2 linked regions of the Arabidopsis thaliana genome follow. The protein of the gene in region 1 interacts with the protein of each later gene in a pairwise test. Each region holds a gene or a part of one and is shown on either strand. Other genes may lie near its edges.

Region 1 (3,755 bases):
GCAGACAATACGGGTCACACTATACAAATATTTAATACCTCAAAGCTAAAAATCATTATATCATCAGTCACTAATAGTTTTCCTTTTGATAAACCAAAAATTTCAGCAAGGAACGGTAACGGATGTGTTCCTCCTACAAAATAAAAGGAATAGTGGAATACAAGAGAGTTCAAAAAAAAAAAAACAGGTCCCTAGAATCTTGTATCCCGAATCATGCCTTTCATTATATCAATCTGCAAATCAGATAAGAAAAATTATGAGATCATGATACTTATTTCTAAATATATACTAAAAATGAGTGATTTGATCTTAAATCTTAATCATGTGAAGATTAGGCAAGTAAGTATAGACTTACGCATGGAGTTTCTACAAAGGGAGAGGAGAACAACAAGAATTGCGAATCCAGCAATGACTCCTACGATGATCGCGATTGATTTCCCCACGTGATCTCCATTCGTTGGATCTTAATAACGAAAATTAGATCAAATTTAAAAAGATCTTAATATTGTATGTGACAAATTAAAGTACATAAGATAAGGACAATATAGTATCAAGCTAAGAATTAGATTTTCTAAGATGCAATGACTTTTGGACTATGTGATATTGATCAAGCTATAAAGAATATATAAAATAAAGTTGAAAATGGGGACATGGGTGGCTATGCCTATAAAGAAAAGAATAATATATTGCAAAAACATTCTTTTCTGACCAATGATATTATAATCATGATACTCGAATTTTCCAACGAATGATTCAAAAGATTAATTCTATTTTATTCAATACTTAATGGTGTCTTTCCAGTGGAAATTACAAAAAAAAAAAAGCAACGAAAATTTTATGATTTCTTCAACTTTCTCGTGCTACCAAGGAGCGACTAGACTTGTGATTTTCTCAATTATAAGCGGCGGAAATTTAAATTTTGTCAAATTCTCACACATTTCTATACAGTTCATTACTACAATTTTCAATTATATTATCATGGCACTAAGCATGATTCACGAATATAATTAAAGAACTTACGTAAATTAGAGCAATAGCTAATAAATGAAATAAAGATTTTAATTTATGGACTGACCTGAAGAGAAGTCATAGTAACCAGAGCCCCAATAACGAGCATAGCACTGAGCCAAGTAAACCTCAGCTGCAACCGCCGAGCCACAAAGATTCTTTAATTTTCCGACAGACTCGGCAAGACAAGCCGTACAGTCACTAGGACTCAAGTCACCAACACACTGAGCATAACCTTCGACTAAACCGGACCGGCTAACTTTGTAACCGAGTTGAGTCGACTCAAGATCCGACAACACATCGTCTCTCCGCTTAAAGAAATCGTAGTCATTCTCAACGCTCTTGGAACTACACTTCTTGTACCTAAGACTTGTGTCTGGTTTCCCTAGAAAATCGTTTGTTTCGTAACGTAAGAAGCAGCCTTCGAGCTGGAGAGAAGCGCCGTAAGAGTAAGGACAAATGAGAGTGATTTGATCGACTGAGGTTTGGATGCATTTTGAGCAGTCTGATGATCGGAGATCGTCACGGCATTGATAGAGGCCGAAGACGGCGGAAGAGGATGAGGAGGAGGAGGAGTCGTTGCCGACGGCAAAGCTGTTGAAGGACGCGTCAGAGGAGGAAGTGACGACAGAGGAGAGGAAAGTGTCGCGGTTTGACTCAAAAGGTGTGTTTGGTGTGTATTTTTCCGGTGAACATCCTCCGTAGATGAAGATGTGAGATTCTGATGAAGATCTTGAGGAGGAGGATGAGTAAAAGAATAAAAAGAGGAGAGAGAAGAGAAAGAGTCTTCTCATATTTTCTTGTTCTTTGAGATTGTTTTCAAAGGAGCTTTCGTTTTTGATCTATCTTATTCCTTGTAGTGTTTTATTTAACAATAATAATCGAGAATGATTATTCATCACTATGGGTCCGAAACTTTTATCGGCGACATTAATACAAACATGTATAATGCATACCGTAGTTAAGAAATAAGTGGATATATATAAATGTAGCTAGGATGAATACAAAACTACATAATAGATCAACAAACGTGGTCTAGAACATTCACTTGTAACGAATCAATACCAAAGTGTAGACAAATTGGATGATAACATTATTGTTTTGTTAAGAGTGCCTAAAATGATTTAGACATGATTAAAGAAGATTTGGTTTTGTGGGTATAATAATATCTTGAAACTTCTTTTGTGCAAAGAGGGTCCCATTTTAGGCATGTCCTTTTGATTAGTATATGTTCGCTAGATCGATTCCATCACACATATTCTCATCAAGTTAGTGGAGAATTTTCAAGTGATAGAAACAACTTTCTTTAAATCCTGACCACGACCAAAAGGGCTAATTAGATTGATCATAAGAGATTTAAAGAAAACGACGACTAAAGTGCTTAGCTTCATCAAATGTATAACCTAGGCGAAATTTCGATGCTTCTCGACCTATCTTCACCTCTACAAAAGAGTAATTTTGAAAGGTGAGAATTTTCTCAAGGACGCTGCTAGACTCGTCTTCTTCTTCATCATCTAACCATAGAGTGAGCTTCAGAAGTGTTGCATTCTCTAAGATGTAGTTAGCAACCTCGGTTTCAGCTTTTCGGCTTTTCTCTTGGTCAGCCTTGGGCGTCATTTTTATTTTGACATTCTCAATGGATGTTTGGAGACATTTTGGCACTGGTGAGCTTGCAATTTCCTCCATCTTTGGATAACCATGAAGCTCCTACAAAGGAAAACACCATAAGACATGTATAATATATATAGTCACTCGCTACTCTCAATACCAAGAGAAGGAATCATTACCAAGTCAATAGATTTTAGGTTGGGACTGCTGGAGAGATATATAGGCAACATCTCTGAATAGTCGGTATGGAGAAAAGCGTACAAACGGGTCAAGTTCTTGAATTCAGGCAGTTGTTGCAGTTTTGTGTAAGCATAGGTTCCCTGTCAAGAACCAACACTTGGTAAGAACAAATACATGCATCTAGAGTATGGCCAGAGATGCTAAGATCTGTGACCTCCGAGAACTCAGCAAAAAACTTGTGCAAAGTTTGCGTGTTTGAAAAGTCATCTCCCCATAAAACCGTACATCGATACACATCTTGATAGAAGAAATAACACTTTCCACTCTGAAGTCTTCCAATGGAAAATCTCTGATACGCAGAAACTCTAAGCTAGGAGTGTCAATCACAAGTCCAGATTCTCCATCATCACCCAAGGAGACATCATCATTTTCTCCCTTAAAGATAAATGTCCATAGACTCAAGCTCCTTAACGTCTGAGATCGCACTTTCAAAAAGTCAACTCCAACATCACAAATGCTCAAGACTTGAAGAACAGGAGAGCACGAGATAAGCATCTCTAGAACCACATCACTCGGTGTACTGCGAAACCCTAAATGCATAACCTCAAGGTGAGGTAGATAGAAAGACTCACAACTATCAAAATCATCCAGAATTACATATTCTAACCGCAAGTTTACAAATTTAAGAATCTGTCGAGAAATTAGGTACAAACCAGGAACACTTTGCCAGAGATTTCTCCATCTTGTCGGTAAGACACTTGTCCTAACAGACTCACTCGTGGGAAGATTCAAGAGTATCTCTTGCAGCAACTCATTGGGCAATTGGCTTATCAAATCTTCCATTGGTCCCTAAATTGATCAACAGAACAAAGAGACAAAGACACGGTATTTATTAGCTAAGGTCTAAGAAAACAAATCAAAATTAAACCGCGTTCTGCAACATGAGTCGTAGAAATTTC
Region 2 (3,564 bases), on another chromosome or scaffold:
AGCAAAAGTTACCAATTCGTACTAAAATGAACTTGTGAACATGACGTAACAAATCTAAATCCAGAGTACAATTAGAATCTGAATTGAATCTTACAGAACTAAGTACAAGTACACAATATTTAGATTGAATGGTATAAGCTCGACGAAGTTGTCTGCTTCACATCTTTACCACCGAACAATCCTTTCCCCAAAACCCAACCTTCAATCATATCCCTTGAATTCACAGCTTTATCTGTCGGAACAAAATGACCAGCTCCTGTAACCGCCACGTGGCACAAATTCCCCCATCTCTGAACATAACCAGCGACCACACCGTCTTCATCCTTCCACACACGCCTCTCCGCCGTCGAGAACATTCCCAATCCTGACCAGTTCATAGTCTTCATCCACTCCTCCGTCGAAACGACGCCGTCTCTTAGATCAAGCATACCTTGATACAGCAAGACTTGAGTCCTCTCCAATGCGTACTCCACCATGAACTTTACGCTCTTCATCACGTCTGCCCGCAACACATCTTCTACTTCATCACTACATTCCTCAAAACGAACCGTTTCACTCACTCCCAAAACACGTTTTGCTTCTCTCTGGTTCAAGAGGTCCACCACGAGGTCTGTTCTGTATGGAATCGCCCGTGCCGTGTTGTAGAGCGTCGCGAGTCCTGTCATGTTACTTAGTAGCGTCAACAGTTCGGTCCTCGCGTCTGCTGCTTCACGCCATTTCTGGGACTTCACGAGAGCTACAGATATCTCCTGCGCTTTTTGCAGTTCAACTCTCTGTTTTGCGTTGACCAGACCCGAGTAGTAGACGTTGACCGCATGGGTTTGAACCTGGGTCACCGGGTCGGTCAGCCCGTTTCCAATGGCTAGCCCCTTTAGATTCACTTTCCCATTGGGTTTCTCTTTAAGGATATAGTATCCAATGGCTGGAACGTACTTCCCGGCGTAGCTCTCTCCAGTGAAGTAAACCGGTCGGTTTTCGAAGCTTGGGTTTTGTTCAAGGAACTCCACGAGAGCGGCGTAAAGATGCTCAGCGACCTGTCTCTGATTTGTGGGTATGTCTTGTTGTGAGGCTGCGATGCTGAATCCGACTCCTATTGGGTTATCCACAAAAAGTAGTCCGAATAGACGGTTCCATGCGCCGGGGTTGCGCTCGAGGTCTGTGGCGCGTGAAACTACACGCCAGGGACCGAGCTCGTAAAAGTTGCCAATCATTGAAGAGCAGCCTGGCCCACCTTGGAGCCAAACGAGGAGCGGAGTGTCAGGAAGAGGTGTGGTTGGCTCTTGGGCTTCGTAGAAGGCATAGAACATGGACGAGCCGGGTGCGGGTTTAACCGGGAGGTAGCCAGATTTAGTGGGGAGAGCTTCATCGGGAAATAGCGGTGGCTGAGGAGACTCAACGGAGACGGCGAGGAGGAGAGTGGAAAGCAATATGAAGAGTGTAGTGGCTTGCTCCATTATTTCCACTAATTGGTGACGCCTTTACATAAAGATCCCTTTGTATTATTTCATTTATTTCATTATTTGACTGCAAAACATTACGTTTATGTTTTGTCTTGTATAACATGTGAATTTTTAAATGTGTAACAATAACATTTTTGTCAAGACGTGCTTGCTTACTAACCTAATTGCATTAACATGTGAGTTTTTTAATTTAAAGGTTTTTGTTTGTAGATGATTTTCCATAATGTATATTATTTTAAATTTATTGTTGCCAAAAGAAATAAAATCTAAAAGTTTTATTGGGCCGAAAAGAGAAAAAGGTCAGATAGGCCCATAAAAAGTTGGACAATACAAAGCGTTTACAATTTGTCAATTGCAAATTTCGTGAGATGCTTCTTCTACTCGTCATCTCTGTTTGGTAAAGTGATCACAAGGTGTTCGATATAATACCTGAAAGAGTTTCCGAAGGTGTGAAGATGATGATCTTGGATGTTTGCTCAGAGGTTATAAAGATCCAGAAGCTACGACGGGCTGTCTCTTACGCCGGATTCTACTGCTTCACTGCTGCCCTCACATTCTTCTATACAAACAACACGTAATGTCTTTCGTCCGATCTCAGTTTGCTTCTTTTGGTTGTTCTTTCTTTTCAATATCGGAATTCGCAGATGATTTCAATTTCTGGGTTCTTCTCTTGGTTTCTGCTTCAGGTTTAATTTGATTTAATGTTACTGATTCGAATGTTGTGTAGAACAAGAGCAGGATATTCCAGGGGAGATCAGTTTTATGCATCTTACCCTGCTGGCACCGAACTTTTGACCGACACAGCTAAGGTTTGTCCTTGATGACAATTTTGAGTTGTCGTTTACAGTTTATATAGTTGATTAGTTCTGTGTGGAACTGATGATTGGGGTTTATTGGAGTAAAGCTGTACAAAGCGGCGCTTGGGAATTGCTATGAATCTGAAGATTGGGGTCCTGTTGAATTCTGCATAATGGCTAAGCATTTTGATCGCCAGGGAAAATCTCCATACGTTTACCACTCCGTAAGTTTCTTCAATCTCTTTATGATAATCTCTGTGGTGCGGATATTTTAGTGTTGTAAAGGTCAGTTTCCATAAGTCTAGAATCTTGATGGTACTGACTTTGTGGTGCCATTGATAGAAATGTTTGTCGAATCATGTGGGGTTAGAACCAAGAATTGAGCTCATTTTATTGTGAATGCAGCAATACATGGCTCACCTTCTATCTCAAGGCCAACTCGATGGAAGTGGCTAGTGGCGCCAGCTCTCTTTGTTTCAGCTTTGTGCCTAATCTTGTTATAGCAAATTCGAATCCTGGTATCTTGGAACATTTGTATGGTGTTTGTATAAGTCCGGAACCGTACCATTGGCTTACATGGATTATTCAGATTTGTACTCTGAAAATTAAGAGCATGTAATTCCCGCAGAGGCACAATGTAATAAACATATAGCATAGCAAAGCAACAATCCGGGGAAAAACTTTGGTTACCACCTTGAAAGAAATGGGGAAAACTGACAGAGCAAGAAGCTTTCCATCATCAGCAGAGACGTTTGATAAAAGAAAGGTCAAGATTTCATTCCACGAAAAATCTGCCGAAAATAAACATCTCATTCTGGATGTGGTATATGAAATGGGATTGTACATGGAGTTTGAAAAACTTGGCAAAGAGAATCATGGAAGGAACTAACCATTTGAGCTGCAAGGTCATACAACACTTCCAAGAATTTATTTAGACAAACACAAATGCGACTGGTTTTTTTTAATGAGTGAGGCCCATTAAAGAAATAGTATGATATTATAGGCCCAAACAATCCCAAAACCCTTGGCCTTTTTCTGTCGCGCTAAACCCTACGATCTAGAACCTTCCGTCTTATGTGTCTCTGCCCCAAATTAAAAACTCAGAAACCCTAGAAAATTCCGATTCATCAACTGAGAGAGAAGAAGAATTGAGAAATGATGAAGCGTCTGATCCCAACGTTCAACCGCATCTTGGTGCAGAGAGTCATCCAGCCCGCTAAAACCGAAAGCGGCATTCTCCTACCTGAGAAATCCTCCAAGGTAAAAGAGCTTTGATTTCACGATTTGATTCTTCTGATTTTCGCCTC

Evidence for each region. Proteins that work in one complex are often made in the same cells at the same time.
Region 2: the proteins of PDLP8 (region 1) and AT1G14990 interact in a protein complementation assay, tested with the Arabidopsis thaliana proteins (one large-scale study listed by BioGRID).

Annotation. Positions count from the first base shown.
Region 1 is NC_003074.8:22,440,082-22,443,836, reverse strand, and holds the start of PDLP8 (plasmodesmata-located protein 8), read right to left. Parts: upstream 2,067-3,755; 5' UTR 1,803-2,066; coding exon 1,076-1,802; coding exon of another isoform or gene 1,059-1,075; exon of another isoform or gene 464-1,058; coding exon 321-463; 3' UTR 234-320; coding exon of another isoform or gene 229-233; 3' UTR 1-228. Other genes in the region: AT3G60710 (F-box family protein), read right to left, coding at 2,365-2,715, 2,796-2,936, 3,082-3,376, 3,464-3,639. UniProt on the Arabidopsis thaliana protein: Modulates cell-to-cell trafficking.
Region 2 is NC_003070.9:5,166,503-5,170,066, reverse strand, and holds AT1G14990 (uncharacterized protein), read left to right. Parts: upstream 1-1,802; 5' UTR 1,803-1,915; coding exon 1,916-2,034; intron 2,035-2,187; coding exon 2,188-2,269; intron 2,270-2,364; coding exon 2,365-2,481; intron 2,482-2,542; coding exon 2,543-2,572; intron 2,573-2,662; coding exon 2,663-2,713; 3' UTR 2,714-3,036; downstream 3,037-3,564. Other genes in the region: scpl50 (serine carboxypeptidase-like 50), read right to left, coding at 120-1,454; CPN10 (chaperonin 10), read left to right, coding at 3,413-3,517.